2 linked regions of the Drosophila melanogaster genome follow. The protein of the gene in region 2 purifies or fractionates together with the protein of the main gene of each other region. This does not show direct contact. Each region holds a gene or a part of one and is shown on either strand. Other genes may lie near its edges.

The links.
Region 1: the proteins of Skp2 (region 2) and Cdk2 purify together in Drosophila melanogaster (affinity purification with western blotting, with the first as the bait; one study listed by BioGRID). This does not show direct contact.

The regions. Positions count from the first base shown.
Region 1 is NT_033777.3:20,732,336-20,740,644, reverse strand, and holds Cdk2 (Cyclin-dependent kinase 2), read right to left. Parts: upstream 5,023-8,309; 5' UTR 4,949-5,022; coding exon 4,821-4,948; intron 4,723-4,820; exon of another isoform or gene 4,633-4,722; intron 4,555-4,632; coding exon 4,359-4,554; intron 4,305-4,358; coding exon 4,194-4,304; intron 4,135-4,193; coding exon 3,973-4,134; intron 3,914-3,972; coding exon 3,716-3,913; intron 3,661-3,715; coding exon 3,511-3,660; 3' UTR 3,461-3,510; exon of another isoform or gene 3,386-3,460; 3' UTR 3,280-3,385; coding exon of another isoform or gene 2,311-3,279; 3' UTR 2,231-2,310; downstream 1-2,230. Other genes in the region: CG31205 (uncharacterized protein), read right to left, coding at 8,103-8,309. UniProt on the Drosophila melanogaster protein: Like Cdk1, could play a key role in the control of the eukaryotic cell cycle.
Region 2 is NT_033777.3:4,332,754-4,341,250, forward strand, and holds Skp2 (S-phase kinase-associated protein 2), read right to left. Parts: upstream 4,922-8,497; 5' UTR 4,854-4,921; coding exon 4,795-4,853; intron 4,590-4,794; coding exon 3,716-4,589; intron 3,656-3,715; coding exon 3,256-3,655; intron 3,193-3,255; coding exon 3,033-3,192; intron 2,977-3,032; coding exon 2,790-2,976; 3' UTR 2,658-2,789; coding exon of another isoform or gene 2,364-2,657; 3' UTR 2,126-2,363; downstream 1-2,125. Other genes in the region: CG9776 (uncharacterized protein), read right to left, coding at 239-406, 469-1,159; CG14645 (uncharacterized protein), read left to right, coding at 2,364-2,657; CG1103 (uncharacterized protein), read left to right, coding at 5,319-5,550, 6,291-6,751.

The sequences.
Region 1 (8,309 bases), about 16 Mb from region 2:
CATGGTACACAAACTTTACGCAATTCGTTGGCCTTCTCGAGCTCTTTTCTCTTATATAAAGATAGCGAGCGGGCCGAAAAGAACACAACTGGACTGGCGACACTGTTCTCCGCGGTCGAGCTCAGCCCTTTACTTAATTCAATTAAATGTGCAAAAATATGCTGGGTATAAATTTGGAGCAGCTCGCCAGCGAAACGCTGTACGGATACACAAAACGAAGGAAGCACACACAGATACACACACGCACACGCAGGCACACACGGGGATACACTTGCTCACATTTACACAGGCATTGGGTCTCACTCACGAGCGAAACGAACCGCTGGCTTGGCCCAAAAAAAGCAACTGCCACTTGAACGAGCCTTTTGACTTGTTTTCCTTCGACTTAGGTGGAAACTGTGACAGCAGCGTTTCTGGCGCTAGCTGCCGCTGGCGTTTTTCCAACTCTCCTTTTCTAGAGCACACGACGCGGCCGTCCTGGAAAGCGTCGTTCTCCGTCGTTTCTGGCCAGCAATCTCAAAGTCGACTGAACCGATTACTGAACTGAGCTGCCTTGCAAGTGGCCAAGTCGAAAGCTTTTCCTGTCTCTCCCAGCCTCTCTCTCTGAGCTACGCTTTCCCTCGCTCTCTTCGGTTTGGCAAAGAAAAACACTTGTTAGGAATTTTCTTTGCTCTTTTCTTTTTGCTTTTTGTTTTCGTTTTGCTTTTGTCGTTGCATTTCGCGGCTTCAAAAGGACTCAATAAATTGCTTGCGATTTGGGCTGATAAGGATTTTCACATTTCGTGATTGCCGGAGCAAAAATAAGTTATATTAAGCCAATAATATCGCTTTGCTTCATAGAAAAAAACGACAAAGAGAAATTTATCATGGCCATTTTATATTACTTTTCCAGTTAAGCAACTTCTTGTGTGCATAGATTTTATTTTGTTCTATTTACGTAGTCTAAAGAATATTATATTATTATATTTAAATTAGTATTAGTAAATGTTGTTTGTTTTATGCAACCAATTCAGAATTGATTTAAGGGATTACTACTAAAAACTTTTTGTTTTGGTGTCTCTTGATTGAGCAATCTGTGCAAAAGGTAAAACTTTAATTTATTATTTTAAGGAGCTTAACACAATTTTTTATTTCAAGCAACATCTTTAGAAAGTGTGATATTTCTTTCACATGATTTCCCTTTGACGAAAACATATCATATCTCCATGCTCCAATTTCATCAGTAATAAAATTTGACAAATTTGTCAAATCTATCTAATGTGTCTATTTAGGGCTGCCACCACAATCAGCATAGTTATGCCATAAAAAATAGGAGCTGCCTAGACGGTGCATCCATTAATACACCCATATGTTTATATAGATCGTAAAATCTTGATAAGGAGAAGACCCCATAAGCATAAATTCGTCAGGAGAAAGCATTTCGCAAGCCGACGACTCATCCCAGACAGCTTAGCATAAAATTTCGAAATCAGAACCCGCCAGCAAACGAGTTTTTCAGTCGCAGCCAAGAACTGAATGGCGTATTAATTGTGTAATCTATAAAAATCCATTTACATATGCATGGGCGAGATTGGCAGCTGCCAACGAGCCCCGCGGGAGATATGAAGATGGTCTCCAAATTGGGTTAGTTGGCTTAGTGTCGGCATGAGTTAGGGCCACCAACATGGCCATAGCTTTGGAAATGATCTGGGGCTCGGGACAATGCCATTACAAATCAATTTGGCTAAGACTGTGGCTAACCGTTCTGTGAACCAATAAAAACTAATCCAACGAGCTGGTCAAAAAGACAAAGGCATCACCGTCGAGCTGTTGACCACTGATTTCGCGATTCGGATGAGTTTCAGTTTCCCTTCGACCGGGAACGGTAACGGACGCATTCGAAATACTATATAGTAAGCCCGACGAACATATTGTATACAGCAATGCAGTGGCAATTGTTTACTGCCCTAGTGCTTTTTGTAGCATGGAGTTGTCCTTCGCAAGGAGTAAGGATATCCGCAAACGAGATGGAGCGACGCTTGCCGCAAAAGCAGGCAAAGATTGGGTGAGCAAACGTTGACGACTAACAATGAAGTTTTGATTTTCGACAGATATGACATTTATATAACCACTTTTTGGTATTTTCTGAACCTTATTTAATCCAATAATTCATAGTAGATTATTATTGCATATTATAGATATCACATAAACAATTCAAACAACTATATGCTTATATAGGATACATTTTTTTATAAAACAATTATATTTGAGTTGAAAAAAGTATAACTATGACATTTTAAAGTTAAACTTTGAACGAAATTTTTATTCTAGCTCCAGAAACTATCCCATCGAGTATGTCCTGTTGCCGAGTGCTCGTGGTGGATACAGAAGGCGCTATATTCATAGTCTGGGAAAAGCAGCTCCTACAACAACTGAACGCCCGTTGGTTCGTGTTTGGAATAGCTTCGTCCGCAGTGTTCAGCCCGCTTTCAGTTTCCGTAACCTGACCAATCCGTTGGCCAACTTCTTTAACGATGGCAGTACGAACATCATCGAGACGTCGCCGGTTTATCTGCAGTCCTACGATGAAGATCAGGAGCTGCAGCTTGAGGAACCAGCTCAAGTGGCCTCACAGGCTACCAAAAAACGCAAGCGAAAGCGCCGCAAGCAACAAAAGCGCCGACCGAGCTACGACTCGGCGGAGAACGATGATGCCTACAGCCCTTACGATCCCTACTTTGTGCCACCTTCTCCGCCGCGGTCCGCCGAGCCGATGTTCTTCTACGACACCAATTCCGGTAGCTACTACGGAGTACAGCGCTTCAGTCCTCAGGATTTCCAATCTAATTTTTACGGCAGCTTTTTATTCCGCCGCCTAGGGAGGCAGAGGATGTGGAAGGCGAGCATGAGGAAGAGGCGCCCGTAATGAGAAGACTCGGAACCAGAAAGGTGACCCTACTTCGACCACTGCCCCTATTGTCGGCCAAGGGCCAATCATTGACGAAGCTATTAGAAGTCAGCAAACCGGAGCATCCCATTGAGAATGAAGATGCAGCAGAGGAAACAGACAGCAGCGCACCGAGCGATGCACCGACTAGCGATGACGACGATGGTGATGTCGAAGCCCATTCACCGCTCTCCGAGAGCATGCGCAATACTCTTGGCACGTATATGCGCGACGATAGCCACACCCGCCAGCGCCAGAGACTCGCTAGCGATGCAGCAGGGGCTAACGATTCCGCCGCCAAAGTTTCGCCACGCCATCATCAACGACACCTTGCCCGGCTGAGCTCCTGGTAATCCATGCTAAGCTATAAACTATAAACTCTTTACTTATGGATGATCGTGTATTTATCGTATGTTACGTGCGAGTTAGGATGGGGAATGCATGATAATGAGGTGGCAGCTGTAAAATAGATTAGATATTCAAATAATTTTACTAGTTTCGCCTTAAAGATAGTGAGATAGACATCGAACTTACTATACTAGAAAACACAAGTAATTTGCTAGATCTGGGGCTATTGGACACGATCAGACGAGCCGCGTTAGACGCGAAGCGCTGCCGGCATTGGGATCTACAGGCAGGGCTACATGGTCAACATGCTGCACATTGCGGAAGTAAGCGTGCTGCAGTGCGTCCTTGGCTGAGATGCGCAGGTTGGGATCATAGCACAGCATTGACTGTAAGGTACAGAGTAGTGGATTTCCATTGGGGATGTACATTTTCTGCACTCACCATTATGAGTTCGTGCGCCTCGTGTTCGGTTATGGGTTGTGGCATGTTAGTTCCCTCCCATCTAGGGAACTTGGTCTTAAAGTCTGGCAGCTGCGTCACACCAGGCCAATTTGTTTCATCAGGTGTGCTTAAGGTACGGAAAATCCTATAAAGTTGATCGATCTCGCTGTCTCCAGGAAACAAGGAGCGGCGCATAATCTGTAATTCTAGGTTTAGTAATCAGATCCGCTTGGAATGTACATTCCATATAACACTACCATTTCAGAGAAAATGCAGCCTAGACTCCAGATGTCCACGCCCGTGGAGTAGAATTTCGTGCCCAACAGAATCTCTGGAGCTCGGTACCAGAGGGTGACGACTTCGTGTGTGTACGCCCGCATAGGCACGTTGAAGGCCCTTGCTAGGCCAAAGTCAGCCAACTGGAGTTGGAATTCGTTATTATCACAGAACCAACAGCGGGTAAAACCTTTAGTCTCACCTTTATTTTGCCCGCCGTGTCTACGAGAAGGTTCTGGGGCTTGAGATCGCGATGCAGGATACGATTCGTGTGGCAAAAGCCGACGGCATCTAATATCTGATGCATATAGCTCTGCAAAGTGGCAATGTGAAAATATTTTAATGGGCTGCAAACTAGTGTACTTACCTTTATCAACTGAGGGGTGAACACGTCTTTTTTCTTATCCATCAGCTTCTTTAGATCCATGTTCAGGTACTCGAATATCATGTACAGATTGTTGCCGGAAATGACTACGTCAAATAGTTGGACCACATTTGGGTGCTTAAGGTTCTTCAGCAGGGAGATCTCTCGAATGGCCGTCGAAGGAACACCCTCCGTTTCGCTGTGAATCGGAATTATGCTATTAAATAAAGCTAAATACTGGCAATCGTGATTACCCGTTTGCTAGCAAAAACCGATGATATCCTGTACCACGAAGCCGAATCATGTGGTGCTACGGATTACGGAAACGGCGCAGCTCCCACATAATTCGGGCTGCGGGGTGCAGGTGGATGACATTCGTCAAGGATAATATGTCCATATGTCACATAATATTTCCTATGGTTGCCATGAACAGCATCACAGTCCTGCTCCACCTGGATTACGCACCCTTCTAGCCGAATCTTTTTGAGGGCCACATCCTGGCCGGTGGAGTTGCTACGCGCTTTGTAAACTATACCGTAGGTGCCCTCGCCAATCTTTTCGGCGCGTTGAAAGTTATCTAGAATGGTGGTCATAACCTCGTAAACAATCCTTGAGATCGATGTTGGCAAAATAAACTAATATTTTGGAGGGAAATTCTTCTTCTTTGGTGATGCTAGCCATTCTCATGCAACCGCCGATAAGTCGCACAGCAGCGCCACATATCGATAAGAATTCCTTAATCGATTGTTCTGCGATGTGACAGCTCTAAGGTTGACTACCCCTATTTTAAATGTATTGTTTTCTTCTTTGCACAAAACTTTTAAAATAAAAAATAAAATTAACCGTTGAGACCCGTTAATGCCTATCACAGTTGGATCAAGACATTTAAAATTGATAAATAAAGTTAAAGCAAAAATCGTATTTATGCAGTTTCTTAATGGTTTCTAAATTTACTCTTTTAACTAATTAAATATATGTTTTTAATGAAATGTGACGTTCGTTTAATACGTTGATTCTCGCCTCTATCCAATTAATGTAGGGTGCGATGTACATGAAAAGATCTGCTCCTGAAAAAACCGAATCAAATTTGGCCAAGAGCTGCCGGATAATATAGTACTGTCTCGGTTCCCCATTTACTAGGCGAACTCCTGCCAGGATAGCGTCTGGATGCAAAGGAGCTCCGCGGATGGTCCTTCCAAAGACACTAGAATAAGGGTCTTTGGTCCTTCCATCCACGCAGAGAGCTGGCGCTAGGCCACGACGCGGATTGAGCAGTACGACGGTGCAGCGATAGCAGGTGGTAAATTGATTTCCATCCCTGAAGAGTATACGTCCCAGCCAAGGATGCTCATCCTGTTCCGCGAATGTTTTGTCGTTGTAAAGCTGATTTTCCAACGGTCTTCCACAGCGCTGAACTTCAGTGATTATACCAGTGGCTTATAAGTATAAATAAAGAAAATTGGTAGATAAGCATAATAAAGTAATTGGGTTACATCACTTACGCATAACCAGTATAACCAGTAGAACCTCGCTTACTGTCATCTCGCTCACAACAAAGTATTTTCCGATCGAGGAAATCACAATGATTTTGCACACTGAGAACAATAACCTCTTGCAGATAAAGTGTGAAGGTGTTTCTTATTGTCGCAATGCAATCTACTTTTCCAACAGGTATTTAGTTAAGTATGTACATACAATATGTGTGAAGAGGACTCTTTAACTTTGAATGAAACTTTGTTCTGAATTTAATGATTAGTAAATGCCATTTATCTACTATTTTCAATCATTTTTACATTTCTTCCGGACACTTAGTTATAGACTAAGATGGTTCCCAATCCAATTATTGGTATCTTGTGGTTTCTTTCGTACTGGCCGTGCGTTGATATTCACAAAAGATGCCAAGCTTCAGATCCATCTACAATTTTCATCCCAAATAGAGCTGCACCAGTTAGGAAATCTTTATCCTGGTGTACGCACGCACTCGTGACTCTGGCCAGGGTATGAAGGCTTTTCGGATGCTTATCCACCAGCGTACTGACCACATTGAATAGTCGGGCGATCACGTCATGGGAATCTGTATCCTCCGATACAGACAAACAGGATCTCAGTTGGGAGTTCAGTTTAAGGACGGCAACATCGTAAGACGGAACGATACTCTGGGTGAATAAAAAAGGCGACTTCTGTTTCCAAACATAAAGCTGTAGGCATCGCCCTTATCCAGGAATATAACACAGTGAGCAGGCACAAGGACATGGTTACGGCCACTCCGGAGCAGGGATACCACACCCAACCAGCTGACCTGGTGTACCTAATCCTGCCCAGCCAGTTGAATTGCTCTCGACTATCTTCTCGGTTTACTGGTCTTGCACTCGATCATTTTCTTGAACTGCTGGCCAGAGGAGAAGGGTCTTTGAGAATAAAGGCGGGGATCAGCGAGATTTAAATGCAATGCCTACTTCCTAGAGTCATTAACGATAATGTGACCAAAATAGCAGCCAATTTGAATGAGAGCATATCGCCATGCATTCCGTTTAGCATTGTGGTATGTTAAAATGTTGGGCTACAACTGAGTTAATTCCGGAGTGCGAGATTTGCCATGTAATTGCGGACCCTTATCGTTTAAAAAGACATTCCGTGCATTTTATGTGCGTTGCATTTAAAATTGTAATTGTAATTGCTTGTGGCAGGCGCACGCAATTCGCTTACACTCCACTCCATCTTGTCTCAATTTGTGTTTTACGTGTTGCAATAAAAAAAGTGCCATAAAAATCCGTATTTTAATTTGCTTTCGCCTCTGCGTTTATTTTTCGCGTGCTTAGGCTCTAGCTGTGAATGTTTTTGGCGCGCACATTTATGGCACATTAATCATTCCGGGCCACGGGCCGTATGCTTGATGACGACCTCACCGAATCCTTCAGCCACTTCGATCGGTACTCATGTCGCTCCGATATCGAAAATTAGACATGATTCATTGGCACTGTAAACCTTGCAGCCGAGTGCTTCGATTACGAGTACTTCGCATTTCATTTCAATGAATTTATGACTGCAGCTTCTCCAGAATTACCATATTCCATGGCTGCCACTCGATAAGGTTGCTCTACTGCACCGGTTGAGATGAAAGCAAGTGGCTTGAGAACATAAATTATTTGCAGTTGATGTGTACTTAAGGCTTTTGGCGCCAGCCAAGTGTCGAAAAACTGCATTTCCCCAAAAAACAGAAGGAGTGCGCGCTTGCCTAATGGCAAAAGTTTGGGGCCAATGTGAATTGAATTCCGTGCGGAGGACAACCCAATAGCGAGGACTACCCACTGTGTTTTGGGGCTTCGCGTGATTTATGCATTTGGGTTTGGGTCAGGAGTCGGCAACTTTGCGCAAATAACCCGAAAGCGCTCTCAATTTTTAGCAACAGCAACTAAACGCGGCCAAATGGATAACCACGAATTTGGCAAAAGACTTTGCTTCCTTATTTATAAACCCACCTGTCAAAAGTCACAGCTTGGTTGCCAAAAATTAAAAATCTTTTTACTAATGAGAAAAGTTGGAAACTCTTCTTTACCTAGAGACTTTTTAATTAATTAATATCTAAACTTGAGTTGTAACTTGAGTCAATTTTAGATCCTCTAGCGGATGCACATTAAAAAACTTATTCTGTCTTTTTAGTTTTCAAATATTTAGAAAAATAGTAAAAGCTTTAGGTACAATATATTTAAAAAGCTTTAGGATTTTGATGTAAAACGATATGCTATTTTATCTTAACTTTGAGGAATTCTTCGAAATCCAATCTAGATGGGGTCGAATGTTTAAGTACCCTTGGTGATCTAGGTCAGACGAGAAGAATCCAGCAACCGCAATTCCCAACAGATGAAATTGGCGTGGAGTACCCGAAGCCTCGGTCAAAGCTGATCCTGAAAGAGGACTCCTCTCGGTGTGGCCACAGATCAGTTCCTCCGGAAA
Region 2 (8,497 bases):
ATTAACATTTCGAGACTATCGCTCGGGTTGGTCTTGGTTAGTTCTTGCAGCGCGTGTACTTCTAGATTCTGATTAATCTGATCTTTACCCTAGACTTTTGGTAATTTCTGGTATGCGATTCATTTGCGCGCAATTAAGTTACAAGTACAAGTAATCATGACAACAGTAATAAAACAATGTGAGAGGTTTGCATGTGAATGTTCGTAGTGATCACATTGTAATTCATTTCCACACTTACCATCCTGAGGCGTCAAACCTGCGCCTTCGAGCGCTGGCACCGACTGCTCCTCGCCTATCGTCTTGCCAGAGAGAGTTTCGCGGGCCTTCTGTGGCTGGATCAGGGAGTCTGAAGCGGATGGCTGGACCCCAGAAATAGGCTGGTTAATCCACACCTGCTGACCGTACACTGCAGGAAATAATATGCTTAATAAATGAAGGGCTTTTGGCGTTAAATGTCTAGAAACGTACCATTTACGTCCCACGCGCTTGTGGGAGGCGGACCGTAGCCAGAGCCAAAAGAGCTTTGGTCCGGCGGGGCACCTGGAATACCGTACCCCGGTCCCTGAGGTGGAAACGAGTTAGGCGGAATTCCATATTGGTGACCGTAAACATCTGGTGGAGCGACGTATGATCCGTAGATATGTGCGGCCATAGCTCCATAGCCAGGGGTCATTTGAGGATGTGGTCCTCCATGCGGAGGGGGCACTGGCGGCGACGACGGTTTTTTTTTTGGTGACCATCGACCTCCCCGTCGGGGCGACATGCTGCGGGACCGGGATCGTCCGTACCGTCGTCCGCGACGTGGCGGAGAGCGCCGGCGTTCGGGGGAGCGTCGCCGATCACGATCAAAGCGCCGTCGGGAGTACCGCCCATAATCGGGCGAATCGTAACGACGACGCGGTGGAGTCAGCGAGCGGGACAGGGAATGCCTTCGCCGGGTGTTCGACGGCGATGTGTTGCGGGAATCCGACCGACCACGGGATGTGGAACGGCGCCTGGAATTCGACTTGCCGCGCTTTCCCGACCCACTGCTCCTGGGCTCGCAGTTCTCGTTTCCGCTTTTCTCATCGACGCCGGGTGGCCCTGGAAGCAGATCATGATCGACCGCGTTACCGAGACGCCTATCCCCCAGCTGTATCGTAGCCGAGTCTTCATCCATCTAAAAGCCGAAAAGTGTCTTTTCGACTTAAAAACGCAATTTTGGACTAAGATCAATAGCAGATCGGTGTTTTTCTGGCAAATTCCGAAATTACGTGTGTGAAGCAAAATAGTGCAATACAGGCGAACCTGAACCTGATAGTTATCGATACTATCGATGTTGTCACGTATTGGCCAACATCGATGACAAGGGAGTTACAATCGACGAATGTTTACTCTTTGGCTTAATAGCCTATTCACACCAAAGGCAAAAGGTAAGTTATAGTTAAATACTATTAAGTACCGACATTGGTACAAATTTGTCTAAAGTGATTTCCCAAGAAGTGTGGAAAACGCCGAAATGTCCACCCCGTTAAGCATACTAGCACCAAAAGAATTTTTACTTTTGTAACGCACTTTAAATTTCCGTTAATATATAAAAAAATTACCAATTGGAGGGATGACTCAAAATAGTTTCAATTTTATATTTCTACCCGTTACTCGTAGAGTAATAGAGTATACTAGATTCGTTGAAACAGGCAGAAGGAAGCGTTCCCGACCATATGAAGTACATATATTCTTGACCAGGATCAATAGCCGATCTGGCCATGTACGTCTGTCCGTATGAAAGTCGAGATCTCAGGAACTATAAAAGCTAGAAGGTTGAGATTAAGCATACAGATTCTAGAGACAAATACCCAGCGCAAGTTAGTTGACCCATGTTGCCACGGGTGACGGGTATCTGATAGTCGAGGAACTCGACCATAGCCTTCTCTCTTGCTTTAGTTACTTTTATATTGCTGAATCTTTAAATTTGGCAGGCTGTCCAATACGAACTTTGTTCTTGAACCTATGATTACGAACTAGATCGAAAATATTTATATTTGTCGTTTCCCTATATGATTTTGTTTTGAATTGGCTTGATTATGCTTTCCTTGATAAAAGACATATTTTTTGTTTATTTTCTTAAATATTTAATATAGTATAAAAACAATGAATTTTTAAATGGAAAATTGGGTGACTCATTGTACCTTTTTTAGTTTGAACAGATTGGAGTCAAGGGCAAGTACTGTTATCTTTTCCTTCCTCTCTCGAGTGTTTACATTAATGCCAATTTATAAAAGCATTTTCTGGTAGTAGCTGCACTTGGATACTATACCGCTGCAACTATGTAACTATAAAAGGCTTCGAGTACTTCCAGTAGACCATAGAACATTTTTTGAAAGATGAAGGTTCAGCTCGCTCTAACCTCCCTACTAGTGATTTCTTTTGGCATTGCCCTCGCCTATGATGGTGACGGACAGCCGGGTTGCAAGACCCAAGCCGAGCTAGACATTGTAGTTTTCCGCAACAATTGGGATGCCACATCGTATTGGAAGTGTGAGACACTTAACAAACCAGCCATTGAAATCAAGTGCCCCAGCGAAACAGGATTCATGGATAGTCTCAAGAACTGCGTCAACTGGGAGGAATGGGAATGGGAGAAACCAGTGGAGCCCCTTAGCGAAGCGGATCAGTGACCAAACGCACAAAAATAAGAACAGCTAAATGTGATTATTTATGTTGTTGAATTGAGAATAAAATAACTGCGTTACGGGTGGCTTACGCAGCAAAACAAATTCAAATGGTAACGGAAGCAGCAGAGTCGAGACTTAGTCGCGCGTGCGCAGACCCCAAATGGAGGTGCGTCGCGTGCCAACAGTCGGGCGGGATACCGAACTGTGAATGAATTTGTTTATACCCATTTTTGGCAGTTGTTTCTCAAGGACTTCCATTGCAGTGTCCGACAGCATCCCAAATATGTCTAAATAGGTTAGCGAGGGCATACTCTTAAGTTCACTGCAAGGAAAATGACTGGGTAGGGATTAATCAGACGCTTGCTGGAAAAATCTTACATAAATTTGGTTGCTGGAATAAGATAGCATCGGGAGACGGACAAATATTCCAGCATCTTGAACTTCATAATTGCAGTAATGACTGTTGGTGTTAGACTATTGCAATCAGATAGATCAAGCTCCAACAACTGAGGACACCGTTTTTGCAGGGTTGCAACATCTAAACAAATTAAATTCAAATCAAAAAGGAAATATATCATTGAAGACGGTGGGAACTACTTACGCGAGTCAAACAAAACGCGGCGGCAGCCAGCGATATTGAGCCGAATTAAGTTGGGGGAAATGTGGGTAACCAACGCCGTAACAGCATCCGCACTTAGGTCAGTCCACGATATGTTTAAGCTGCTTAGGCTGGTAAGTGACTCCATCATCAGGCGAACACTGTTGGACGTCAGGCCACTAGCCATAGTCAGATTGACCGCCTCCAAAGCTTCATTCTTTGCGATCTCTGCACAGATGTCATCATCGAGCTCAATATTCTCTAAGCTTATTTTCTTTAGCTGGCGGCAGTGGGACAATAGTGTCAGCAGTGAGCTTCGGGTGATGGAAGCCATACTCAGGTCAAGATATTGTAATCGGGTCCTAAACACTTCTGTATATGGTGCAAATGCGGGCTCCTGGATCTACAGTTCAAAGATTAGATGCTCTTGTTTCCCGAAAACATAATGTTAGATGTAACTTACACTAGTCTGGGCCAGACGTATTACAAGGACTCCCCGCCGTACAATTTGCTCGAGGGCACCTGGTCTAATTGTCCGCAAACCCAAATCTAGCCTTGTCCACAAAGTCTCATCGCGAGAGCAGCGGTTAAAGCGTCGACAAACGGTAGCCATGCGCAGCAGCGTCTTCTTCGGGAGCCACTTAAAGATGTCAAGTAGTATTTCGTCTGAAAGTCTTTCAAAGTAGTTTATGCCGCTGTTGATGTGGGCACTCATGGCCGGGGTGCGAAACACAAAGAAACTGTCCGCTGCCACTATTCGGGTTGTAATATTTGTTGTCGAGGGCTTTTTTGCCTGGCGAACTTGCGCCAACCTGCTGGTTGATGGCTGAAAATTGAGCGAAGCAGTCCCATCAATCTGGTTGTTACAGGTGACTGCAGCCAGGGGGTTGCGCAAACGTTTGCTGGGCGAGTTTGAATTGCCGCTACCTTCAGAACCCAACGACGAGCGCTTAGCCTGCGCCAGAATCTGCAGCTTCTCGGCCGATTGACGGGACATCGACAGTGAATCCTCCACAGCTGGGCTATCCAGTGTGATGTCCCCCGTAGAGCCCAGACTTAGCCGTTGCGTGTGCTGTAGCTGGTGCGCCATGCGCGACACACTGGCGCACGGGGTCGTCTCATTTGAGTTGTCGTCGCTGGTGGCGCTAACCGCCAAAGCGATGGCCGAGAGGGCTGAGGAGCTGCTTTCTTCGGAATCAAGCATTCCGATTCCCATCTCTTCTAGGGCCTCAAAAGTTAGTGCCGAGGGCGAGGAAGGGTGCTCGTAGTGCGATGACTTCGTAGTGGAAACTAGAGCGCCCACAACAGAGACGTGGTTCTTATTAGTCGAGCGCTTTCTGCAATAGTCGAAAATTTATTAAAAGTGTGCAGTTCGATCGTGCTTCATCAGCAGAATGGCTGATGAAAGAAAGGGTCAAGAACCCTGCAATTCAATAAGTTACTTTCTTGACCTCTTTTGGACACTTGTGGCGCGTGTGACGTCACGCGACCAGTTCAGTGGTCTGCTGCTTGAACCCACACCCCAAGCAAAGGAAAACTCACCTGGTCACCGGGCACAAATTTTCCATGTTTTCGGAGCCTCTGTGCTTGCGACTGCTCATATTTACACGAAATCTATTTTTTCACCGCCGTAAACACAAAAACTTCGCGCTATTTTTGCATGGAACCAGGGTTGTCGAGCCATTTTGGTATGAGAATTGTATCGTTATCGAATATACTAGACGGGCCGTGGTTGCCAGACCAAATCCCAAATTAATGCTACCGTACTCTTTGAGAAAAAATATCCGCTCAGTCTTCTCTTCTGAGAAAAAAACAAGGGCAAGACAGTTTATATTAATTGTTTACCTGTGCAACAATCTTTTGTTCCGCGAACAAAGACTATATTTGCAATTGATCCCGCCGACATAGTCATAAAAGGGTAAGCAATACGCTGCAAGGCCACTGGCATTGCGTCCTCCGCTTACTAACGTTTCCTACTAACTTTCTTCGCTGCAGCTGGAGTCGGGCCCTAGACATTTCTTAATGGTGAAAACAGCATAGCCTTCTACATATGCCACCGGTCTTCCATGAGCATTATCAAGATGAGCTTGCACACACGGGCGTTAGTGTTCTCCACCTTCTTTGGCAGCTGCCTGGCTATTGGCCTCTTGCTCGTCAGCATGACCACTAATCACTGGGTGCGGGCCACTCCACGCCGCAAGAACTCGTCGGACGCCAAGGGTGAATTCAACTTCGGACTCTTCTTCGGCAACTACCACCTGAATCCCGGATTCGGAGTCCGCACAAATTCGGTTGATGGTGAGCAATCAAAGTAGCCTAGATAGCAGGGAAAACTAGATAGAGAGTGATCTTCTCATTACCTGCATCGTGAATTAGCCTCTTTAAACTTCTTGGGACGCTTTCTGAATGAATATACGATTAGGAAAATGTGCTGATTATTGGGGCATGTATTAGTTGAAAACCGATATTGTCCTGGATAAGACTGTTGTTAAAAATAGATTTACTTTTAAATTTGTTTAGTTGTGAAGATCACAAACATAATCGGGCGAGTTGATAAAATTAAATACCCGAATAATACTCATGATCAGTGCAGACATATCCAAAAATTAACCATTATGTATACTTTTCGATTACATTTATTTATCTTGCAGATCCTAAGGATATGCTTAAAAATTAAATTGTAAAAACCAAAATTGTTTTTGTTTTTCTTATTAATAATCAAGTGACACAACAAACTTTAGGGCTAAAGGGAAGTTACATTCTATTTAACAAAATTGAAAAATATTGAAATTTTTGGCGCAAAAAATATAATAGAAGCGAGGACATAGGGAACCATATTTTACTTGCTTTTATATAATATGGTTGAAATTTGGGGTTTACAATTTTTAAAATTGCAAGGGTATTATATTGCGAGCCACAAATATGCAACATAGAATAAAAACGTCGTGGAAGCTTAACAGCTTTTGGAGATGCAAATAAAATATAAAATTTTTAAAGCAATCCTGTTTAACTTTTGTTATTTCACACCGTATTTTCAGTGTATACCTTTGTTCGGACAGAAAATGACGACACTAGCTTCTGGCTCTGGCTACTTACTACCTTGGGCACCGGTTTCGCACTGCTGGCCTGCGCTGTGGCTGCCATCGCCGCTGTCCTAAAGTCAGCCTCTGCGGCCAAAAAAGGAGGCACAATGATGCTGCTCCTGACTTCCAACATATGCGCCGCGGGGGCGCAAATAGTGGCGTTTGTAGCTTGGCTCGTGCAGTTCTACCAATATTTCATACACAACGTTCTTTTAACTGAGCAGCAGCAGCAGCACTGGTACAGCAATGGACTGGCTTATCTTGGTTACAGCTTTTACCTGGTCGTGGTATCCACCGTCGTTGTGCTGCTGAATATCGCCATCCTGTTGTACGCCCAGCGACTCGGCCTCCGCAACCGCCAATGCCTGGAGGCGCCATGTGACGATAAAAACAAGACCGCCATAATGCTGTACTAAGGAAGGCGAGAAGGATTCCCAAATGAACCTCTACGAAGTTGCTTGGCAAACGTACGAGCAGCGACACCTAGTAATCTCAGTGGCTCAAGTACTTGTGCCTTACTTAATGCCTTTACCTTGCCAACAACAAGGGCCGTCTATATACTCATTTCAGTTTATGGTATATTCGTTTAAATAAGCGTACAATGACTTCGCCTGACTGGCCTGCCGATCTTTCATCGGAATAAGACAAACTAAAGCGCACAGCACTGCCCACACCTATCCATATTTATATACCCTTTACATATATACATACATACAATACAATCGAATGTCATTTTTCTATAACGTGTATTTACTGCCATCGGCAGCCAAGTATTTTTATGTGCATATTTACAAATAAAGCAACAACAGTCATTGTTAAAAATTAGAAAACTCGAGCGTTTGTTTCCTAATTGGCCCATCATGTCGGGGCCAGCTCCAAGGGGAAGTGGGAATTAGCTCGTTGGAAGAGCACACGCTACACTTCCGCATGGTAAAATCCAGGAACTCCAAGAACGTAAAAAAAAGTAAAAAGGGTCCGGGTTTCTGATCGCTGATGAATTGTCCAAGAATCTTGCCTTTTCCCAAATGTCAAAACATTTCTCGAGTCGGAAACAGCCCGGACCTCACAGTGAGCGGAAAATCCAAGTGTCATTGCATTCAATTTCGCAAAGAAATCAATTATCTTTTTTCTGTGAGAGTAAATGAATATATCTGTTTCTTTTCCGGGACCTCTGACGGTTTGTGCGACCCCACAAAGAACGCGACACCTTCGACTGCTGCAGATAGAGCCAATTATGTCATCATTAGTTTAATTAGTTTTCAGGGCTCATGTTGATGGGAAAACGGCCCTGCACTTCCGGCACCACCTACTGTTTGCCTTTGGGCCCGATGTCCTGCTGGGTAACTCTCGGGTGTTTTTGGTTGGTTTTCGGTGTGATGCAGTGACATTGCGCAAGTTTTATTGATGCGTTTTTGATTGATTCTCAATCGCTGCCACCTTTGCTGGCGATAAAGAACAGGCAAACTCTCTCTGACCTTTCTGGCCCGCGACTTACCTAGGTAAGCAGCTTAGGACCACGTGTGGGTATTTGGGCAAACCAGGCGAGTCTGTTTCCACTATCTGCGTATTAAAGGTATTATGCAAGACGCGGCGTTAGGATTAGACCGCAAATTGCGTATATGCTCAGACACCGTGCAAGTACGGGCTCATTAGATGAAGAGCTCGAGCTCGGCGAGATTAGGAAGCCGACAATAAACTTATTGTGAGTGTTAATGTAAATAAACCGTCGTTTAGCGGTTTCGGAACATACCCAATCTTCCGCCTAGGATCTGCGGGCAGACCCCTGGAAAATACGATCGCAACCCGCTAAAGCCGCAGGAATATCGTCAAACTGGGATTCTTGAGCAACTCCGAAATGCCAGAGGAAGCCTATGCAAACATAATTAACTGGAAAGTTTGGTAATCGAATGCAGGAACTTATCAATAGAAATACCACAGCGGTCACCACCCACGTTGATGCCGCCTACTGCTGGGGACGGAGGCGACAACACTCTCTCGGTCCGCTTGTTTACATGAATTGGACTATAGTTTTTTTATAGAGCAGGACTCCTCTATGCAACTGAATAGCATTTCCAGAACCGCAAAACAAGCAGGCTGAAGAAATCAGGGGCTGTTGCTCCTGACGGCCAATAAATTTCCCAATTAAATGGATCCTCTGACAC